3 linked regions of the Pelodiscus sinensis genome follow. The protein of the gene in region 2 binds, or shares a complex with, the protein of the main gene of each other region. Links are inferred from orthologs where the notes say so. Each region holds a gene or a part of one and is shown on either strand. Other genes may lie near its edges.

Region 1 (7,692 bases), on a different chromosome or scaffold from region 2:
CAATACGGAAATTTTCTCCCTTGTCACACTACATCTAATACGTGTGTTACAGGACCAACACCTTTCAGATTCTTATTTCACATAACTGGCACAATTTTTTCAGCCAGCCCATACAGTCTTGTTTGGTTGACTTCCTCCCTTTTCCATTCTCATTATAGTAGCCATGTCTTGTTCCTGCCAGTCCTCTTGTCTCTTCTTCCCCCACTAACTTCCCGAGAAGTTCTGCCTTCATTGAGGTATGTTCAGATTGTTCAGTCTTTTTCTACCATTATGACTTGAATAATTCCTCCCATTTGACTCTGATCAATGGATATTTTAATACTTTTATTAACCCCTTCATTACACTGTTGAATTCAAGTAGCTCACAAACACACCATATCGTTTCTTTATTTGCCTCATATTTTTAATCACTTCCTCCTAACTGGTAGCAAGTTAGTCCAAGATGACTTCTCTTGTGGCTGCATTTTTTACTTCTTGGGTTATAAAACTCTTTCCTGTGTAACTCAGCATCTCACTGATGATGCAAGTTTGGTTGTGAGTGAACCCAAAAGATATCTGGGCATTTTAATCCCCCCGTGAGTCCAGTACCCTGTAGTTTCAAGAACTTTAAGCACAGTCCCTACATGTAGCCTTAATTCTCCACTAGTTGTGTGGCATGATTTATTTGTCCTAGAAATGAAGCCTTGGACATAACTGCTGGAGTGTTTTTTTTAAAATCTCTGCTTACGTTAGATTCCAAAGAGTTATATATGTTATTTCCCTAAATTATTCCATTATTTTACCCGAGAGCTACTTTTAGCTTCTAAGGATACTGGCTTCTGATAAATCCCTTCACATTTTCTCTCTTCAGTCACTCCCAGCTTCCCCAAACACCCTAGCTTCTTCTCCTTATTCCAAAGCCATCTTCCATCTCCCCCAGTCACTCTTCTCTGTATTTAAATCTGTTTCTTATACACAAGCTCCTCTTCCCCCATCCTTCCTTCCCCCCTCATCCTCTTTCTGCCTTTGCTTTTCAACAATTCTCACTGTTGCCATACTCCAGATTCCTGCCTGTTCTTTCTTCTGCTCCCTCCACACTCTGGCCCTGCACCATTCCTCCCTCCCTCTACCTCAAATATATCCCAGTTGTTTCACTTCGAAATTCTCAGTTACTCCTCCATCCCCATTTTCCCCTATCTTGACTCTTAACATTCCCATGACTTTCTGCCCTAAGGTTTCACTTTAACTTTCACTCATGATATTGCTTTTCTCCATTCCCTGCCTCATGTCTTCCTTGCCTCCATCACTCACTTGGACATTCTTTCTCTTAGTCTACCTGGTAAAGAACCTCCAACCTTCCCCTTTGCTCTGCTTCACTTTCAAATCCCTCCATCTTCCTATTCCTTCCTCCTCTTTTCTCTGCCTTCCTTACTCACCAGTTCACCTCCCTCAAATTCCCCAGGTTCCCTCCTCCATGTCCCCCCAAACAAAGTCCCCCGCACTTTTTCCCAATAGATTATTCTGAGCAACCCTGCATGAAGCAGCAGCCAGTGTTCTTAGTTTCCTGCTGCACTACCTCCCTTCCTCCTCCTCCTTCACAGATGAATGAAATTTGGGTGAGAGTAGGAAAAGAGAGAGAGAGAGAGAGAGAGAGAGAGATTGAGATTTTTGTCTGCTTTCTCCCCCTGGCTGAAAGCTGGGAGTGCTTCATTCTACATAGTTATATCCTTGAACCCTAGCATTCACCCTAGCATAGAAATCTATTCAAACAACTGATATAAGAACAAGTTCTTGATTTAATCTGCTTTCCACATTTGTCAGTGCCTGGAGTGCTCCTGTCAGGTGAGTATAAATAGCCATTGCATTGAAATGTCTAAGTTAAACTCTGCTAACTTGTTTGAGAATTTCTGAATGAAAAGCAGCATTATGACCAGACACAGAAGTGCTGTCAAGAGCAGCTGTCAGCACCACATGAAGGAAAACATATGTCTGCAAAGATCTGAATGGGGCTGGAGAATTTCAGCACTACTGCCAGCTGGACAGAGATTAGAGAACAAACATTTCATTGACACAACCTTCCTAGTTTGGATGAGCTTGTTTCTTGGGGATTCTAATTACAACCATGACTAATTGTTAGTTAGTAAACAGCTAGAAAGCCGACTGTCTTAATGTAGCTCTCTAAATGAAAACAGTGATAAGAGCTGCTTTTAACACTCTCAAAACATGATGCTCCCAGCCTCTTAAATACCAAGCATGACAAATGACATGAAGAGTTAGCCATTTTAATTTCAAAATAAACTGCCAGATACAAACACATTCATGTCCCCTGTTTGTCTAAATCTAACTTTCACTCTCGGATACAAGAAACAATGTTCCCAGATGCCACTGTTAACTCACCTACCTTTTATTCATAGTATAGGCTGCCTGAAAATCCGTGCAAACAGGTTATATTACAACTCTTCAGAGGAGAAATGCAGAGTGCTACTCACCTAGGATGTTTCCAATGAGAGCCACAATGAAAACAACAATATATCCTGCAATCAGGACCCATTCATATTCTTTTGGATGCAAATATTCTCTCCAAAGGTATCGCAGAAATTCCTCATCATCATAGTCAGCAGAGGGGATTGACAAAGGCTCCCGAGTATCATTCCATTCTGGAGCAGATGACCAGTTCCCACAAGAAGGGGACTCATTATCCAGTTTTGTCTCGGACATCACTGGTTTTAGCCTGGGTCTGGGATCAAACCTGGTCAGTACTTCTAGCTTCTCTGAAGTCCATCCATTTACACTTGTGCTGTGGAATGGCAAGCCCAGTGTGAGGAGAAATGGAGAAAAGGAAATGAAAAGTTACAGAGCCAATGATGAGGGAACCTTTGACAACTTCTCCCACTACCTTGGCAGCACTTCTCAGCAAAGCTGCACACACAGCAGCTCTGGGAGAGGGAATGAGGACTCGGCATCAGAGTCTGCTGTGACAGAGGAGCCGGCACAGCACATGCTTACAAATGCATAATTCTGGCACAGACTCTGCAATACACAGCAAATCCTTAGAGGGAGAAGGAGGAGTGGGCACTTTGCTTCCAAATGTGAGAGTACAGGCAGTCCCCGGGTTACGTACAAGATAGGGACTGTAGGTTTGTTCTTAAGTTGAATTTGTATGTAAGTCGGAACTGGCATCCAGATTCAGCTGCTGCTGAAACTGACCAGCGGCTGAGTACAGGAAGCCCGAGGCAGAGTTGCTCTGCCCTGGGCTTCCTGGAATCAGCCACTGATCAGTTTCAACAGAGGATGAATTTGGACGCCTGAGACAGAGCAGTTGGGGCGCTGCCGGGTAGGTCCCCGCAGCGCCGCACCTCAGCGCTGCAGGGACCAACCCAGCAGCACCCCAGCTGCTCTACCCCAGGTGTCCCCAAGTCAGCTGCTGCTGAAACTGATCAGAGGCTGATTCCAGGAAGCCCGGGGCAGAGCAACTCTGCCTCAGGCTTCCTGTAGTCAGCCGCTGGTCAGTTTCAGCAGCGGCTGACTTGGGGACACCTGGGGCAGAGCAGCTGGGGTGCTGCCGGGTTGGTCCAGTAGCGCCGAGGAGCGGCGCTGTGGGACCAACCTGGCAGCGCCCCAGCTGTTCTACCCCAGGTGTCTCCGCGAGAAAAGCCTGGTCTGCTGGGGGGGAGGTGCACTAGCTGCGCCCCCCCCCCAGCAGACCAGGGAGACGCGGAGCAAAGCTGCGGAGCACGCGGGCAGCAGGACAGCCCAGACGCGCCGCGGCTGTCCCGCTGCAGGCGTCCTCTGAGGCTTTGCCCACATCCTCCGCCACCCATGTCCTCCAGGGCGAGAAAAGCTGCTCCACGTCTCCCTGGTTTGCTGGAGGGGAGCCCCCCCAGCAGACCAGGGAGACGGGGAGCAAAGCCTCGGAGGACACCGGCAGCGGGACAGCCGCGGCGCGTCTGGGCTGTCCTGCTGCCCGCGTGCTCCGCAGCTTTTCTTGCCCCGGAGGACGCAGGCAGTGGGACCTACGTAAGTCGGATCCACGTAACTCGGGGACTGCCTGTATATGTAATCCAACCTGTAAGCAAGTGTGTATGCTCACTGCCTGTGTATACACGTGTGCTGTGCAATGTGGGGCTCACATTTAGGAATCCTTAGATGTACACTTACACCTGTCCTTGATATTCCAAAACTACCCTCCCTAGCTCGTCAGCCCCTTCTCTGTGCTGTTGCCCTTCCCCTCTGCCTCCTCTTCTCATGCCTCTTTCTGTAACTCCAGTTTGTTTTCCTCCCAAGTTTCTCCATGCAGCCTTCTCTCTGTACTCCCACCCACATTTCCCCTGTCCTGTTCCAGCTTGACACATCACTAAATTTAACTTCACTTTTGGGGAGAAGAGTATCAGCAGTGGAAGAGAGCTAGAATGGGGGTAGCTACTGAAATCAGTTATCATACCCTCCCCCAAAAAAAGTTGCTGAGTTTTCTGATTTGTGGATGTCAGTTCAATGGTATTTTCTGCAAGACACCATTCTTCCACCAATTGAGAGACATCAAAGCACAGATGATGTCATCCTCTGTCTCCCTCGTGTTATCAATGGTGCATGGCTCTCCCCAGTGGTCTTATTGGGAATCCTGGGCCTGTAATGCCAACAATTCCTAAGGTCTCTGTGTCACTCTTGCAGGTCAAATAGGCAGACCTATTCCCCGAGCCCTTACTCACACCCCACAAACTAGAGTCAGCAGAGGACATTTTTGGAAGAACAGGAGGCAAGAGGCAACCACATGAATATCTCCTCATTGCTGTATGGGGTTCTAATCCCTCAACCACTTTCCATGGAAAATAACTAAACTATTTCAGGAGCTGATGAAGTACATAGTGGCTATGTGTTTCAAACCCCAATAGTGAAGGTCAAAGGCTTTCATAATAAACTTCTGGACATATTGCATGCTTCAAGCTTCTGCCTGCAGCCCTCCTTGTGAATCTGGCTTTATTAGAGCCTGCTAAGACCATCTGGCAGACTCCAACTGTACAATCCACCACCAGTAAATGTGCCAACTAAAATATTGCATTTTAGCAAAGTACTTGGAAGTGTCACTGAATTCCCTGGTTGTGGAAATAGTAAATGAATGAGACAAACAGCACAAAACAATTTAAGAACATCATAAACAAAGGGCAACTCTTAGAGAGAAGATTATTGCAGTCTTCCTTGCATATAGCTGATATCGGAGCCAAGTCCATTTCCACCATAATCATGATGTGATTTCCATTGTGGAAGCAGATATCCAGTTTCTCTAGGGAATTGCACAACATTGCTGAGGACCTCCCTATGGATGGCCACAGTTGTTCTTTTAATCGACTGGTGAGTTTCTTCACATCTTGAAAGACTTGTGGGTTACACTTTGATCCCTCACAATTTATATACCTGCAACTAAAAGAGAATGTAGCAAGTCTCACACATTCCATGGTTCTTTCCAATACATGTCTTGAATTTCCACTGGCAACCCTGAATCACCAGCCAAGAGACCAAGATATTCAATAAACAAGCCAATCAAACACCACAGCTACTTTATCTCAGTCACCCACGTTATCTAAATGCCAATCCATCTTCTGTACTATCTTCTCCATCTTTGCCACCTTGGATACTGTCTTTCCCTTTTCCAGCTTGTGTGGGAGAGAATAACATCCAGAAAATGGGCTTTGGAAGTAATAATATAAATGTATTCCTCCTTTTTGCCTTCATTTCTCCCTTCCACACCCTTTTCATGGACCCATCTCACAAACATTTGCTGAGATATGAAGTTACCACTTTTCAACATGTAGGGGTTATGAAACCTGTTCAGTCTAGCTCTGGGGATGCCTTTCTAATTGCACTGACTTCACTGAGATAGATTTGGTACCCTTACCTCATTAAACTTGCTTTTCATTCACCAGTGCAACTTCTAATCTGTTACATCAGTTGTCACAGCATGCTGGTCATACACATCACCCCAATCTCAAAGTTTGAATCCAGGCACAACTTCTACATTGCATTAATCAGCCAATGGGCCTATCACACTGTAGCCCCTCCTGAAGGTATAGCCTCAAAGGCTAGATTTTTTGCTTACCTGGAATTGTAGAGTTACACAATCCCCAGAGATTCCTCAGGAAATATATTTAATATCTATTGGCCCATTGACATTTTATTTTTGTTTGTTAATTTTCATTATAATCATCTAAAGGGGGAAACCATCTCTAGTTATTACATTTTAGATGTTCCCAAATCATATCAGCATAATAGCTTAACTGGCTACATTTGACTGTTTATCTATTTTTATTACACCATCTCTAGCAATACTATTATGATTTAAACCTTAGTCTTCTTGTACATTCATGTGAACTATAAATGTCTCTGATGCATTAAACTCAATTTCTTATTTATCAGAACCAAACTATGTAACAAATGATGTTTTCAAATTTACAAGCCTATAGAGAATATACCAAATCTGAATTAAGAAACTTAAATTCCAATTTATATCTGTCAACCTTTTCCCCCAGTGAGGCTAATGTCTGGCATTTCATTTAGGTGAAAGAAGAGAGACTGATATATGCAAACTTAACCCATAATCACTCATTTAAATTTCCACAAATACCGAAATAAATCAGTCATTCCTAGTAAAATATCTTGTAGCTTTCAATTTATGATGTTACATACAAAAATTATATTATACAATATAAATATTAATCCAACTCAATTTATATTTTGTAGCTTATGCTATCTCAAAGGTATTGCCATCATTCAGTTGGAGATAAGACCAATCTAGCCCCCCCACTTCAGGGTTCAGATTTTATTTTTGCTTCAAGTACATTTTCCTTCTGCTAGTATGAATTTTATAACCGACATATATTTAATAACACAAATAAGCAGCACCTCTTTCTACTTTACAGATCAGTTTCTTCATTTTTAAACCTTTGTGACAAAGAACCAAAAAGACTGAGTTCTGCATGAACTTAGGAGCATCTGAAATGAGAGACCAGATTTGATTTTTCACAACAGAAAGCAAGATTTATGTTGTCAGAAGTCCACAGACTGCTGCTTAAAGGTCATATGAGCTCATGGATACCAATTCAGCAAAGCATCTAAACTCGTGACTAGGCCTGTTCCTAGTCAGCAAAGTACTTCAGCTCATGCTGCTGAATAACAATGGACTGCTGAATTGGGACCCCAGAGAAGGTGGCCATGGAAATCTGCCCTTCCCCGCCTCACCTTCCTTCCATTGCTCTAATTTCACCATCTTCTACTGCCCCCTTTTTTTCCTCTTGATCTATCTACCTCTCAGCATCTTGGCTGTTTACCAATTGCCATAACATCATGGTCAAGCTGCAAAGAAGGACCACTCACAGCACTTGCCTTCAAGAGATGCATCAAACAAATCCCACTGCTTTGGCAGCAACACTGAGCAATGCCTGACAAGCAGCAGGGCTCTCCTCAACTCAAATATAGTGTGGAAGAGGGAGAAAACAGAGAGAGAGGAAGATAAATGAATGGTAAAAGCTTTTATCAATTTTAAATCCCCACAGCCATTAATATTAAATGAAGAGCAGGCCATAGCTGCAACATCCTAGATATCTAGAGCACTACATTAGAAATTACACAGCCAAACCCATGATTTTTAGAATAAAGAATGTGATCATCTATACACCTTAAAATGGAACTAAAGACAATGTAGGCAGCCTGGCATTTGTTTCA
Region 2 (7,204 bases):
AGGACGGGGGCGGCGGACCGCGGCGCATCTGGGCGTCCCGCCGCTCCCGTCCTCCGGGGCGAGAAAAGCCCCATTCGTAACTGCGGATCCGACATAAGTCGGATCCGCGTAACTCGGGGACTGCCTGTATATGTAAGATCATATGTCTGCCTTTCCAACCAGGACACATGTAATTACAGCTTTACAGCTTATGATGCCAACTCCTCTAAGGTATTTATTATAAAAAAAGACGGTATGTGTGTTCACAATAGATGTCCTTTGATTATTAACCAATTCTATGTTATTCCAAATGTTAACGAAACTAATTTCTGTTTATGCTTTGTGTTCACATGAAAAGGATGTGACATTAATTTTAGTTCAAGAACTTGGGAAATGCAAGCTTAATTTTGGCATATCAATTCTATCAACATCTGGACCCTGTTCATTTAGTAATGAACCTAAGTATTCTGGAGCAACTCCTCAGAGACCTGGAAAGCAAACTAATCCAGTTGTGAAAACAAGACCAAGTGTTAGAGGCTATTAATATTATCAATCAAGTTTTGGATAGAGTATAAAAATCAGCTGTCCTTTGCAAATCCCTGTCTCAAAAGGAATGACCCAGCCTACTGTCAAAATTTGAACTAGTGTAATGAAGAGCAATACAAACATGCTGTGTTTCTTACCTCAAAAGGAATAATTAAATGTGTTTGAACTCAATTAGTTTTCTTAATTTAGTAGATACATACAAAGAAACTTGGTTATTTCAGAAAAGCTATCTGGACGTTCACACACATCATTTTTGCCAGCTTCAGATAGCTAAGCAAGTGACCCAAATACCAAGAATTTTATTTCATGGCCATCATTTCTCAATCCATTTTAATCTACTTTAAGGATCACTGTTGTAGCATTATTTACCTCCTCCTCACTTGGAATTGAGTAAATTAGGTAGCTGCCCCCAAAACCCTCTGGTTTGAGAAATGAGACTGACAATAGGTTTCCCACGTGGCAGTGGAGAAGCCACAATAGACCATAGTTTATTTTATATGTAATAACACTAATAAATAGCAAAGCTAGTAAAAAGTTGTTCATTTATTACACAGAAAATTGCTTGGGGGAAGATGCCAGAAAAGAACATAAACTGAGCACATGTGGCTGAAAAAGGTGGGAGCTGATTGGGGTGAGCAGAGCAGGAAGCAGATTATTGTGGTGAAGGAAGGAGGCTGAGTACAGATGCATCTTTCTTTTATGCAGCTGCTAATTATAAACATTTGACATAAGATTTCTGGCCCAAGCGGCTGTTTCCCTCTGCTGGTTAACCAACCCATTTTTCTTCAAATTGGCTTCATTTTCTTTGCTGTGTGAGGACTTAAATCATGCCAAGTTTGAAAAGTTACATTCAGACAGTGAGTTTAAGATATTTTAATAGATAATAATTGCTTCAGTAACAAATGACATATTTTCAACCATACCTCGATACCAGCTAAACTCAAACTTTAAAAAAAAAAGCACAGTTCAGTTGAAGGCAATTTTAGACATTTTTTTACCAAGAGGAGAGGACTCTTTTAGCATTTGAAAAGCAGAAGAAACTGCAAATTTCTCATTTTTAACTAAACTATAGTGCTCGGTATTCCCAAGAGAGAGACTGTGATATCCTCTTCGGGGGGGGGGGGGGGGGGGGGGGTCTCAAACTTCAAATCTGAAGGCCATCCCCTGCTGGAGCAACTGCACAATCTGACCCTGAAATCCTGGTGTGGGTTATATGTTACTGTTCCTCAAGCCCCACCCTTCCCATCATCACGCTGCCCTCTCCCCCTATAGCATTCTATTCCCCAAGCACAGCTTCAGGGCTCACTGGGGATGGGGGTGGGGAGTCTGGCCTGGAAGCAGCAGTCAACCCTTCTCTTCCCACCCAAGGCAGCAGGAGTGCACTCTGTCTCTCAGCACTTGGTGAGTACACTCACTTGCTCCACTGTGCTCCATGGCTCCAGCCACGGCAGAAAGCATGGGGAGGGAGGGGGGCAGACTGCTGCTGCTGCTACACCACATCAGACCATCCAAATGATCCCTGAAATCACCTTGAGAGATGGGGTACCATGGGTGGAAGCAAGGCAGGAGGAGCAGGGCTTAGGGAATGGAACAGGCAGCTTCCCTTCCTTCCACCAAGACTCCTGGGTTGGATTATGCAATTGCTGTGGCTGCGGATGGTCTGCAGGCCAGGAGTTTGAACCCTTGCTCTTCAGTAAGGGTATGTCTACACGTCATTCCTCTCTTTTGAGAGAAATGTAAATGCAGACACCCGAAATTGCAAATGAAGCGAGGATTTAAATATCTCGCACTTCATTTGCATAATCACATTATGGTGCTATTACAGAATAGCGCTATTTCAAGAGAAAAACGGGGTTATTTCAAAATAAAACCCTTCCCTCGAAATAACCCTTACTCCAAAAAATGAGGAGTAAGGGTTATTTAGAGAGAAGGGTTTTATCTTGAAATAACCCCGTTTTTTCTCTTGAAATAGTGCTATTCCACAATAGCGCCATAACACGATTATACAAATGAAGCATGGGATATTTAAATCCCTGCTTCATTTGCAATTTCGGGTGTCTGCATTTACATTCCTTTCTCTTGAGAAGAATGAAGTGTAGACATACCCTAACTGTGGTTGTTTGAGCTGTGTTGTCCAGATCAGTTTTTGCTTCTGGTTTGTGTGCACCTGACAAGCAGCAATCCAGGTTCCTTTTGGGCAAGAAGCTCACCTGAGCTCATGTCTTTGCACCCCATCTGCCCTCTTCCACACCCAAGGTCAGAGTGGGCCCAGCATGGCTGCAACAGAAATAAGGGCACAATGGTGGCAGGAAAGCGAAGGAAGCAAAGTTCAGGGACTGTGAACCACAGTTAGGCTGTGTCTAGACTGGTAAGTTTTTCTGCAAAAGCAGCTGCTTTTGCAGAAAAACTTGCCAGCTGTCTACACTGGCCGCTTGAATTTCCGCAAGAACACAGACTTCCTACTGTCTGAAATCAGTGCTTCTCGCAGAAATACTATGCTGCTCCCGTTCGGGCAAAAAACCCTTTTGTGCAAAAGGGCCAGTGTAGATAGCTCAGATTTGTTTTGCACAAAAAAGCCCCAATCGCAAAAATGGCGATCGGGGCATTTTTGCGGAAAAGCGCGTCTAGATTGGCACGGATGCTTTTCCGCAAAAAGTGCTTTTGCAGAAAAGCATCCATGCAAATCTAGACGCTCTTTTCCGCAAATGCTTTTAACGGAAAACTTTTCCGTTAAAAGCATTTGCGGAAAATCATTCCAGTCTAGACGCAGCCTTACTGTTTAGGGTTGCCATCTTTTTAATAGCTAGTAATCGGGCCTCCAAGTCCCCACCTATACTCTGCCTTTTCTCCCCAAGGTCCATCCTTGTTCACCGCTCTTCCCCCTCATGCTCTCTGGATCATCTAGATCAGTGGGTGGGCAAAATATGTCCTGTATGCTGTATACATCAGGCCTGCCATGTGCAATGGCCCAGTGGGAGCCTCCGGCTAGCTCCATATCTGCCACACACCCCCAAGCTGCTCAATGCAGCTGACTGCAGAGGCCACGTGCTGTCTGCATGCTGCACACTCACAGGGCTTCAAGTGCTGCACCCACCCTATTGCAGCACCGATTGTTTGGAACAGATCAGTTGGAACTACCTGCACCATACAGTGAAGGGAGTATGCAGAGAGCACATGGCTTGCAGGGGTGCAGTAGGTAGGGAGCATGCTTGAGGATCCTGCTCAGCTGCTGGCCAGGAGGGGCCCCAGCTGAGCAGGGTTAATGACCCATGCCTCCCCCTGGCCCGCGGGAACTGAATTTTTTGTGTCTACTCAGTACATCTGACCAGACCCTGCCAGGTCTCCTTTGTGAGCTGCCTTTCCTGCAAAACCGGGCACCAGGCAACTCTCACCGGCATTGGACAGAGAACCCGAAAGCCAGCTGTATGCAGGGCGCGAGCGCAGGGGGCCCCCTCTGGCCAGTCACCCCTTTGCCAACGTCAGCCCCGGCACCCGCTGCGTAGGACCGGAGCCAGGCTCGTCGTCAGAAGCTCCACCCCTCATCGCACTGGAGCCCTCTGATTGGCTACCCATCCCACTTGCCCCTCCCCGTTTGGGGGTAGACTAGCCCCTGAGAGGTGCGGCGGCCAGAGCCGGCTCCTCGCCTGTGAGGAGTGCAGGACGCTCTTCAGGAAGGGGGACGGGGTCTCTCCCTCCTCCCCTGCTGGGAGCGAGAGGGAACCGCGGCCGCTGCTGGGACTTCTCGCTCCCTTTTAAAAAAGTTTACGAGTTTTGACCCTCGTCCTCCCCCACGGCAGGGAGCTCGCTTCTCAGGCTCGCTTTCCCCAGCCAACTGGGGCACTCCCGCGGCGTGTTCCTGTTGATAAACTCTTGAATGAGCGACTTCTCTCCCTTTTGACCTACAACCGTTGAAATTCAAAAATTGCGCAGCGTTCTCCCCGCTAACAGACTTTTTTTAAACACTCGGCCATGTGACGTCACACAGACGCCGCGTGGGCTGGGGGAGGTGGCTTGCCCCATTCCTTCCCCATTTTTCATCCGGGTTATCTACCCTTCTTCTCAAGTACTCCAGCCTTCTTCCCGCAGGCTTGAACCCCAGCTGTCGTGCGCAGGCGCACTGTGTACCAACCCCCCCCCCTCCTCCTTCCAGCGAGCAAGACTGGAGTGGGAGTGGAGGGCTCGCGCTCCCCCGCGCTGTCTCCGGCTCGCGTGAGGTGTTGTCTGGCGCGCGCGCGCCCGCGTTGCTGGTGGGGGAAGACAGGCGGCGCCTTGGGAGCCAGGGCTGCGGCAGCATCACTGGGCTGACGAGCGAGGGCAGCAGCGGATCCTTGCTCTCCTGGACCGTTGGCTCAACTGACGCCCGGAGAGTAACGGCTCGGAGCCTTGTGTGTGCTGCGGGGGCCCCCTTACCCCGGCGCGCGCCTGCGGCGTGAGCTCGGTCACCTGCGCGGGGAGTTTCCGAGGGGGGACGCTTAGCGACCTACGGCCCCGAGATGGGCTGCACGCTGAGCGCGGAGGACAAGGCGGCGGTGGAGCGGAGTAAGATGATCGACCGGAACCTGCGGGAGGATGGCGAGAAGGCGGCCAGGGAAGTCAAGCTGCTCCTCCTAGGTAAGGGACGGAGGGGGCCGCTGCGCTTCCCGGCCCGTGCCCCCGGCGCGCTGCTCTGCCTGAGCCGTAGTCTGTCCGCTGCCCGGCCCGGGATCCTGCCTCGCCTGCAACTCGCCGCTACAGGCTTGGCCCGGTTCGGGCAGGGTACTGCTCCTGCGGGGGCGGGCCGCACCTGTAGGTATTGCCCCGTTCGACGATCACTCGGGAGCCGGAGCGTGCGTGTTCTCGTGGCTCCATCTCCCGGATAAGTTCTCGGGAGTGGGGATAGGAAGGGCAGCGGCGCACTTGGCCTCTGCTGGCTTAGAGGAAGAATTGATGTCAGCTGAAATGATCAGTGTAGGCAGCACCCTGAGGCTGGATCATTTTTACTTGAACATTTAAGCCCTCTAGAGCTGCGCTTTCATTTTAGCTCGCCTTTTGAAACAATGAACGTTAAAGGAGCACGACACGGTATACTGCTTTAACTCTCCAAGTGCCCTGCTTCCACGAGGAACACCGATATTTCCCCCCCCGTACTTTAAATATCTACTTTAAAATGGCATTTGGTGACTTTTTTTTAAATCTGCTTTTGAGTGAATCAGTATCTGCTTATCCGCGACATTCAAACGGTGTGGCAATGGTTTGTTTATTTGGCATATTTTTAACAGAATTGTGAGGGGAGAGAATGAGGCGTGGCTGTGGAAATCAGAAGGTTTAAGACAGGGGTGTTTTGTATCAGGGGCTGCTGACCCACAGAAAATGGTCCAACAAGAACAAAAAAACCCAAACCAAATCCCCTCACTGATGAGGACCCTGACTGAGAAGCAGAAAAGCACTCCCCACATTCTCCTCCTGCACCAGAGCCTAGAGGAGGCCGGTCTAATAGATTTTGTGTGCTCCAGCTCTATGGGGGGGTAGAGAGGGGGAACAGTGGGAGGACTGGAGTGCCTGCATGAACTCCCCAATTCTGGGAGAGACCCATGCCTTGGGCTGGATCAAAAAAAGCCTAGGACGGCATCTGGCCCCCCGAGCCTTAAATTCTCCACCCCTGGTCTAAGAGATTTCAGAATATTGGAAGTGAACATTTTAAACTCTTCACTAAACAAACGTGACATCCTTAGTTATAACAGGAAGATACTTTTACAATAATCCACAAATGACGGAAGTGAGATTTGTATTACACTGTTATAAAAAGGTATCTTGTATATTTTAGAAGTACAAACTGAACAGGAATATATTAACCCACATATACAAAGAGCTGTCTGCATGGCTTTTCTGCCATTTAGGAGCTGTACTAGTAATTAATAGTTTTCAACACAAAAAAACTAAACAATTTTGATGTTTCCCAGGAAATGTTGACTTTGCCAGAATATTACTCTGAAATATGTTTTGCACAAGAAACACTTATTCTCTTTCCTGTTCTAGAAATCTATTGCATCGTTCTTTCCTGTATAGATATAGAGGTGAAACAAGCTTTGTGTGGAGAAAAACAAATGTTGTCCTACACTGATTCATTTTTATGAGAGTTTTTTCCTCAGTGTCAGGCATATTTGGTTAGTGCAGTTCTTCCTCTGCCGTTACTTTTTACCTCATGCAACAATCATGTGAGGTCAATGTTGTAGACATTCTAGTGTTTCCATTTCTGAAGGTGAGAGAAAGTGATCATTTCATTTTTATGGTAGTGCCTAGAAACTCCAACCAAAATAATCTTTCACTGTTTTTTGTGAAATACTTAATTTTTATAGTTATGCACAGACTTTTGCATGGGATGTATAGAAAGAAGCACAATTTAAATACCGCTAAACAACTGTTCCTCCTTAAACGTTTCACAGAATTATTTTGTAATGTTAGAAAATACATATTCTTTACATTTTTATGCAGTTCCAATGTATATAGCTAAGCTGTTTCTACCAATACATTTTGAGAGTAGCACAATTCAAATATTGAAAACTTCCTTCAGTTAAGATGGACTGTGAAAAACAGAGTTAATTTTTACTGGGGCTGGATCCTCAAGTTTTTAGGCAGGGAGAACCTATTGAGAATAATTGGACTAAGATTTTACATCATCAATGATTGCATGAACAGGCCC
Region 3 (7,023 bases), on a different chromosome or scaffold from region 2:
TCAGTTGGTCTGGCTAACTTGTATCTGAGGAAAAGTCTCAGAGGGGTAGGCGTGTTAGTTTGCAACTTAAAAAACACTGAGTAGTCCTGTGGCATCTTAGGGTGTGTCTAAACTAGAGGGTTTTTTTCGACAAAAGTTGGCTTTGGTCGAAAAAAACTATACCTGTGTCTACACTATCGCCGTGTTCTGGTGACAGTAAGTGGACAGAACGTGGCAGTTTTGTCAATGGCGGTAACCTCATTCTATGAGGAATAACACCTTTTTTCAAAAGTCATCTATTGCATGAAAACAGGGCTTTTTCAAAAGAGAGCGTCTACACTCTCTTTTGAAAAAGCAAGACACTTTTTTGAAAAATGTTCTTGTTGTCTAGACGCTCTTTTTCGACAGAGGCTTTTTCTAAAGATATTGTTGAAAAAGCCTCTGTCGAAAAAGGCATGCAGTGTAGACATAGCCTTAGAGAGAGAGATAGATAGATAGATAGATAGATAGATAGATAGATAGATAGATAGATAGATAGATAGATAGATAAAATCATGAGCTCTCATGGGCAAAACCCACTTCTTTGTATCTGAGAGTTTTCAAAGAGCGGAGGGCACTGGACCATTAATGCTGATTTTCAATGAATCTTGAAAGACTGGGGCAGCTCCAGGAGACTAGAAGGAAGCTGATGTTGAGCAAATATTTAAAATATTTAAACGGGATGAATCAGGAAATTATTGGCCTGTCGGCTTCATTTCAGTCCTGGGCAAATTAATGGAACAGCTGCTACAGTGTTTGATTAATAAAAATTAAAGGAGGATTATATAATTAATGCCAATCAATGTGGGTTTATGGAGAATACATCCTGTCGGACTAACCTGATATATTTTTGGGTTGATGAGGGTAGTAGTGGAGCTTTAATAGATTCAGAGTTGCATGATGTTTTGATTAAAAAAAAAACCTAGAAAGGTAAAAAATGAATGTGCCACTAATTAAATGGGTTAAAATTTGGCCAACGGACAGCTCTTGAAATGTAAATGGAATCATCATTGAATGGGTGTGGCTCTCATGGGGTCCTGTGCAGATCACTTCTTGACCCTATGACATTTCATTATTTTTAGCAGTGACCCGGAAGGAAATCAACAACCATCATTAGTAAAGCTTGCGGATGACGCAAATATTAATCATCGTTAGTCCTTTGGGCTCCTAATGGAGCATCGGGCCTCCACTGTCATTCTTCATCTCTTGCGATCCTTAGCGATAGTCTTGATTTGATCCCATGTTAAGCCAGCTGCTTTTACTTCGTCCAGGCAGCTTTGTCGCCATGTTCGTTTGGACGTCCCCTTTTTCCTCTTTCCCTTTGGATTCCATTCTAATGCTTGTCCCACGATACATTCCTCGCAGTCCATTCCACAGGATGTGGCCTGCCCATCACCAATTTCTCTTCTTAATCTGGACGCAAAGATTGGGGGCTTGGTAAATAATGAAGAGGGCAATTCATACAGATGCAGAACTGTCTGGATCACTCGTGCAAGCAAGCAGCATGCCTGTATATTAGGCCAGGTGAAAAGTAACACAGTTCAGTTGCCGGATGCACATATAGGTGAGAAGGCTATTTTAGGAAATAGTTCTTTGGAAAAGGATGTAAGGGGTCAGAGTGATGATAGTGGTCACAAGGGTGGTGTGGGGCTGTGCCGAAGGCAGGATGTGGTGATTACTCTTTTATTGTCGCAGGTGGTAGGAAAAGAAGACGATGTCGAATTGGAGGGTTTCCTCCCTCAGCTATGTTTTCAATCAAACTGCTCTAATTAATAGCACTAGCCCCGCTAGGGCCACACCTAGCTCAATTCAGCATGGCCAGGAAATGAATGTAGCAAATAACAAACAAGTATGGGTTTTACAGTCTCCGTCATGTACCCAACATGTGTCCACACTGCATGCCTTCAGGCACACCCTTCCGTCACCACCCTGGTTGGCTCACCACCTGTCCTATGTGTGCACACACACGCTTATCCATCTCTACCTGCTGCATGCCGCATCCGGCCACATAAAATAACATGAGATGAGGAGATGAGGTCATGCTTAGCAGGCAAAGAGGAGCGAGGGTTTGCCCAGACTTAGTTTTACCTATGGCTGGACAGGTGAGTGAAACCTGGATCTATGCTTGGGCTGGGGGGGAACTGTTCTATGGCTGAAATTGCTGCTTGTTCTGCAGACAGCTGGCCATGGGCATTTCTGCTGAATTGGATGCTTGTGGTGCTTACTTATTAGCTAATTCCTAGCATGCGCCCCTTGCCCTCGGCTTTCTCGTTGCCCATGCTCTAGGAGCACATGGGTGTAAGTGAATGGCATGTGCCTTGACTTCTTCTGTGTGCTCATTGCAAGTCAGAACTGAGTCTTTGACTAAGGCTTATTCTCTGCATCAGTAGCCTCGGCTATGGCACCACCATCTACAAAGGCCTCCTATCCCGATTGATGTCAATGGATTAGATATAACTGAGGTTCCCTAAGGATCTGCTCCCTTGGCTTTGGTGGACATTGGACCTAGCCCCTAAAGAACCTCAATCCCAGCCCAATGCAGCCAGATTAATGCCTATTCACTAGGCAGTTCTGCTCGGCATTACACCGGAGCGACACCACTGATTTCAGTGTGTCTACACACAGGATGAAGGTGGCGCAGTATCTGTATTTCCTAAGCAGAAGTGTCTTGGCTTTTTCAGTGTATGTTTTCACCAGTTGTCTTACCACGGAAGAGGCTGGGTTGATTTCACTTCCACAGCACTGTTGCTGCTGTCAGGAACAATGTCAGCTCAGAGACAATGGATGCTTAAGAAAGTGACTGTTGGATGTGTTGCCTTCCAATGATTATATCCCGGTCCGTTGTGTTTATCATAACATGGCTTGTTATTTACATTCGGAAGAGGAAAGCACTCCCCAGAGAAGCTAGCAATATAGACCATTACAAAGCTGGCAGTTAAAGGCCAGACATGTTACTGGGAGCAGACACCATTAGAAAGGACCTTGAAATATCAGTATCACTCAGGCTGGATTTCTGTGTTTTTACAAGACACTCTTGGGACCTGGATAAAAGTTTGGGATCAACAATAGTTTTCATCCCACCATTCCACTGTGGGTTATATTTGCCATCCCTAGGGTACCATGTGTCTATCTGTAGGTCTAAATGAAATGCAAATTTAAGGGTCATAGAAACGCTTTTCCCTAACAAACTCACATGCTTTCAGCTTTGTTTAGTTATTCTTACCAACATATCACTCTGTCTCTCCTAGTTCCCTGCTGCCTTCTTCTGTTACTTCTTTCCTTTTTCTTTCCTCTAGCCATGAACTCATTCTTTGCCAGTTTCATGGCAAGGAGACCTTTGTATCTGTCATCATATTATGTAGATGCAGAGACTAAGGCCAGATCTACACTAGACCTTGAAGATTGTGTTAAGGTATGCAATCCTGGCTACATAAAACATGTAGCTGAAGTTGTCTTACCTTAAGACGAGCTTGGCACCATCTTCACAGAGGGAAGCTGAGGGGAGCAAACACTCCTGTTGGCTTCTCTTACTCTTCGCAACTGCCAGGAGTACCAGCATCAACTGAAGCTACCCTCAGTGTTTAATTTAGCGGGTCTTAACTAGACCCACTAAATCGAACACCAGAAGATCGATTCCCAGTGCGGCAAGTGGAGATGTGGCCTAAGAACGTGAAGAACCGACTAAAACCATGTGTTGCTCTCTGAACATGATTAGGGTTGAACTGATTCTGATGTCTAGTGCTAATAATTTCCACAGCCTAGGCTCTTCCACTGAGAAGGCCTTGCCTCTGCATTATGACAGGACCACCCTAGTCACAGCAGTGTCCCCTGGTGCATAGCTGTCTCAGAAGGTCATCACAAAGATAACTAGGCACCCCGCCTCTTCAGACTCTTAGTTGATGGTTAACACAGCAGGAGCTGAAAATGCATTCAAAGCCAAGTGGGAGGCTGAAATCAAACAGAATATCCTCATGACTTCCTCTTAACTACTTCACTTCCTAAGAAGAGTAGAAGTTGCTTATCTACAGTCAGATGTGGTTGACTGACATGGGTAATTCTTAAAATAAAAAAAAAAACCTGCTTGCAGCTCTGAAATAGAGTAACTGAAAAGTGACAGCGCTAGACCAAGTGAAGAAGGCAGGTGGATTTTTGGCCAGATCCCGACAAGATTTCTGACCCTCCCGAAGCACATTTCCCGAGTGCGTGAAGGATACTGACGGGGCTACAGAGAAGTCCTGGCACTGACCAAACGGATTGCACATCATGGAGATCTGGGTGCAATTTACTCCTGTGCGATGCTAAGGAGGGGTAACAGCCAGCTAGCTGCCTCATTCCATGGGGACATAAAGTTCTGCACAGGAAGTTATTGTAAAGGAAGTCACTGGGAGAGCTGAGGTTTGGTTTCATTTGGAGGGAAATCCCGCTGGGGCTTGTTCCTCTTGGTTTCTTGAGCCAGCAAAGGAGACAGCTTGCTCTTCGCCATGACAAACAGCAGCGTGTCTCACAGCAGCCTGACTGCTGTTTACATCACCGTTGAGTGCATTATTGCGCTATCCGCCACCGTGGGCAATATCCTGGTGATCTGGGTGGTGAAGCTGAACCCAGCGTTTCAGACCAACACCTTCTACTTCATCGTCTCGCTGGCGCTGGCTGATATAGCTGTGGGGATCCTCGTCATGCCGCTGGCCATTGTGGTGAGCCTGGGAGTGGTCATCCACTTCTATTCCTGCCTCTTCATGTGCTGCCTGATGGTGGTTTTCACGAATGCCTCCATCCTGTCTCTCCTGGCTATTGCCATCGACAGGTACCTGCGAGTGAAGCTGCCCACCAGGTGAGTCACTCAGGTGATCGTACTAAATGGGGGTTCAATTAATGCTTCTCCTGGTCCCTGCACCCCAGCTCAGACCTGCCCTTCAATACCTAGGTTCTACTCCGTCCTGCCTCAGGGTTGGGAGGTGGAATAGGCAACCTCTTGCAAGCCCTTCTGGCCCGACATTTCGATGATTCTGCGATTACAGATGCTCTTTGCTTCTGCCCCCCCCCCCCATCTATTTGAGGTGGCTTCAGATTGGGCAAGTTGCTCAAGCAGCAAACTCGCTTTGAACATCTGTTCCCAAAAGAGAAAGAGAATCTCTTTGTAAAAGCAGTTTAAAAGCAGATCAGTGGGGGAGAGAGACTGTGTCGTAGCTCAGTGCTAGCCCAGTAGCAAGCACAATGGAATCCTGGTACACATCTGAGGCCCCTAGATGCTACCTCAATATATATATAAAATAGCAATCATTTCAGAATTGCCTATAGGAATCAGACTGCTGCTGGAAAATCAGGGGCACCTGGTATTGGCCATTGTCGGAAGACTGGGCTACATGGACCTCTGATCTGACCCAGTCTGGCTGTTCTTATATTCATGGTTTCATCTGTTAGTCATTTTGTTGGGTGTGTAGCCTGATTTTTATATTATCTGTGTCTTTATTTATTTTGGGGGTGGTCACGCAAACTCAACCAGCAATGCCAGCCCAGGGTCAAAATGAAACAGGGGCATAAAGTGAACAGCAACATCTAATAATAGTCATTTAGACAAATCTGCCTTTTTTTCTATAACTTACATGGGCCAAGCGCATGCATGAAAAATACCAAGATGGCACAAAGGCAGACAGTACTGAGTTCTGGTGGAGTAACTGGGCTTACACATTTATTTGAATTGTGAGGTCAGCGGTAAGATGTGAGTGAACGCTCATAAAATACAAACCATCCCCTATCCTACAACAACATATTGGTGGGTAAAGGTGCAAAAGGGCCACAGAAAGACTGTGTTAGTCTAAGCAAAAGGCCTACCTATATAATTCAAGCACCATGTTAAGATTATGCACGGTTAACAAGAGAAGCGTGGGACCCATTCTCAAATCAAAACTGGTGGGCCAGAAATTCGGTGTAACTGATGGACAAAATAATGAGGGGATGGGGCTATTCCAGCCATGAGATCTTTAAAAGAAGAGATATCAGGGAGCAATCTGGCTGACTAAACAATAAAAGAAGGGTTAGAATGAGCTTCCTTATGATGACTGCGTGCGCTACCCTGTGGTCCCCAGACATCCTTCCTCCTCCTCCTTACAGATGTGATGACCAGATTGGGCCGAGAGAGAGGGATCCAGTAATGTCTTTATTTCCATTGTCACTGACTAAACCCCAAATGTCATCATGGATGTGGGACTGTGTCACCCCTTCCAACTCTCCAAGATGCCCGTCTCCTTCCACACTATATTTCTGCTCTTTCCCAGGTTTTTTCTTTTGTAATATGAGTCAAGCCTATTTTGCCACACTGAGACAAAGTTTCCAGGTCTCAGAGTGGCTGGTCAGACTATGTGCTGGGCCTGTGTTTTTCCAGCAGTATGACTGTCAGTGAGGGTATGTCTAGACTACACTGTTTTTTTCGAAAAAACTGCCCTTTTTTCGAAAAAAAACGTCACCTATCCACACTGCAATCATGTTTTTTTCAAAATTAAATCGAAAGAACATAGCGGTTTTCCTGACATTGGTAAATCTCAAATGATGAGGAAGAACACCTTTTCCAAAAGAGCTCTTTCGAAAAAAAGGTGCATGTGGATGCAGAACTGGGACATTTTTCAAAAGAAGAACAATCGAAAAAAGCACAGGTGCCCTGGTGGCCATTCTGTGAAAAGCAATCAGGGCTTTTGAGAGCATGTCCATGCAGTCTGGATGCTCTCTTTTGAAAAATCAGATCACTTTTTCGATCTGGTTTTGAGATGTGGACGCTCCTTTTGAAAGAAGCTTGCAGTCTAAACGTACCCTGAGAGTCAGCACTAGAGACAGAAGCTGTGTTTTCTATCTTTGGCATTCTTCTCTTTCCCGCTTTGTCTAAGCTTGTCCTCTCGGAAGCAGGATGGATCTTTAACACCAACAGCATCCATGACAGTTCCAGCCCATCCTAGCTCACCTCTTCTATTTTCCTGAAAGGACCGTCTAAATACTGTCAAACCAGGAAATGGT

Evidence for each region.
Region 1: the proteins of GNAI1 (region 2) and HCRTR2 are in contact, whole or in part, in a cryo-EM structure (PDB 7SQO), measured with the Homo sapiens proteins. The link is inferred for Pelodiscus sinensis from reciprocal best matches to the Homo sapiens genes GNAI1 and HCRTR2. Residues at the interface, in NP_002060.4 of Homo sapiens: Ala31, Arg32, Leu194, Phe336, Thr340, Asp341, Ile343, Ile344, Asn347, Leu348, Lys349, Asp350, Cys351, Gly352, Leu353, Phe354; in NP_001371201.1 of Homo sapiens: Thr89, Arg152, Ala155, Ile156, Pro159, Leu160, Met161, Phe162, Lys249, Gln254, Lys301, Thr302, Met305, Leu306, Ser368, Lys370.
Region 3: the proteins of GNAI1 (region 2) and ADORA3 are in contact, whole or in part, in a cryo-EM structure (PDB 9EBH), measured with the Homo sapiens proteins. The link is inferred for Pelodiscus sinensis from reciprocal best matches to the Homo sapiens genes GNAI1 and ADORA3. Residues at the interface, in NP_002060.4 of Homo sapiens: Arg24, Glu28, Arg32, Asp193, Leu194, Phe336, Thr340, Ile343, Ile344, Asn347, Leu348, Asp350, Cys351, Gly352, Leu353, Phe354; in NP_000668.1 of Homo sapiens: Gln44, Thr47, Arg108, Arg111, Val112, Thr115, Val116, Tyr118, Lys119, Arg120, His124, Ile204, Thr228, Ser231, Leu232, Lys285, Ile286, Lys288.

Annotation. Positions count from the first base shown.
Region 1 is NC_134713.1:42,994,069-43,001,760, reverse strand, and holds the start of HCRTR2 (orexin receptor type 2), read right to left. Parts: upstream 3,020-7,692; 5' UTR 2,698-3,019; coding exon 2,469-2,697; intron 1-2,468. UniProt on the Homo sapiens protein: Nonselective, high-affinity receptor for both orexin-A and orexin-B neuropeptides. Triggers an increase in cytoplasmic Ca(2+) levels in response to orexin-A binding.
Region 2 is NC_134711.1:20,806,045-20,813,248, reverse strand, and holds the start of GNAI1 (guanine nucleotide-binding protein G(i) subunit alpha-1), read left to right. Parts: upstream 1-4,187; 5' UTR 4,188-5,018; coding exon 5,019-5,136; intron 5,137-7,204. UniProt on the Homo sapiens protein: Guanine nucleotide-binding proteins (G proteins) function as transducers downstream of G protein-coupled receptors (GPCRs) in numerous signaling cascades.
Region 3 is NC_134737.1:3,127,261-3,134,283, forward strand, and holds the start of ADORA3 (adenosine receptor A3), read left to right. Parts: upstream 1-4,004; 5' UTR 4,005-4,499; coding exon 4,500-4,849; intron 4,850-7,023.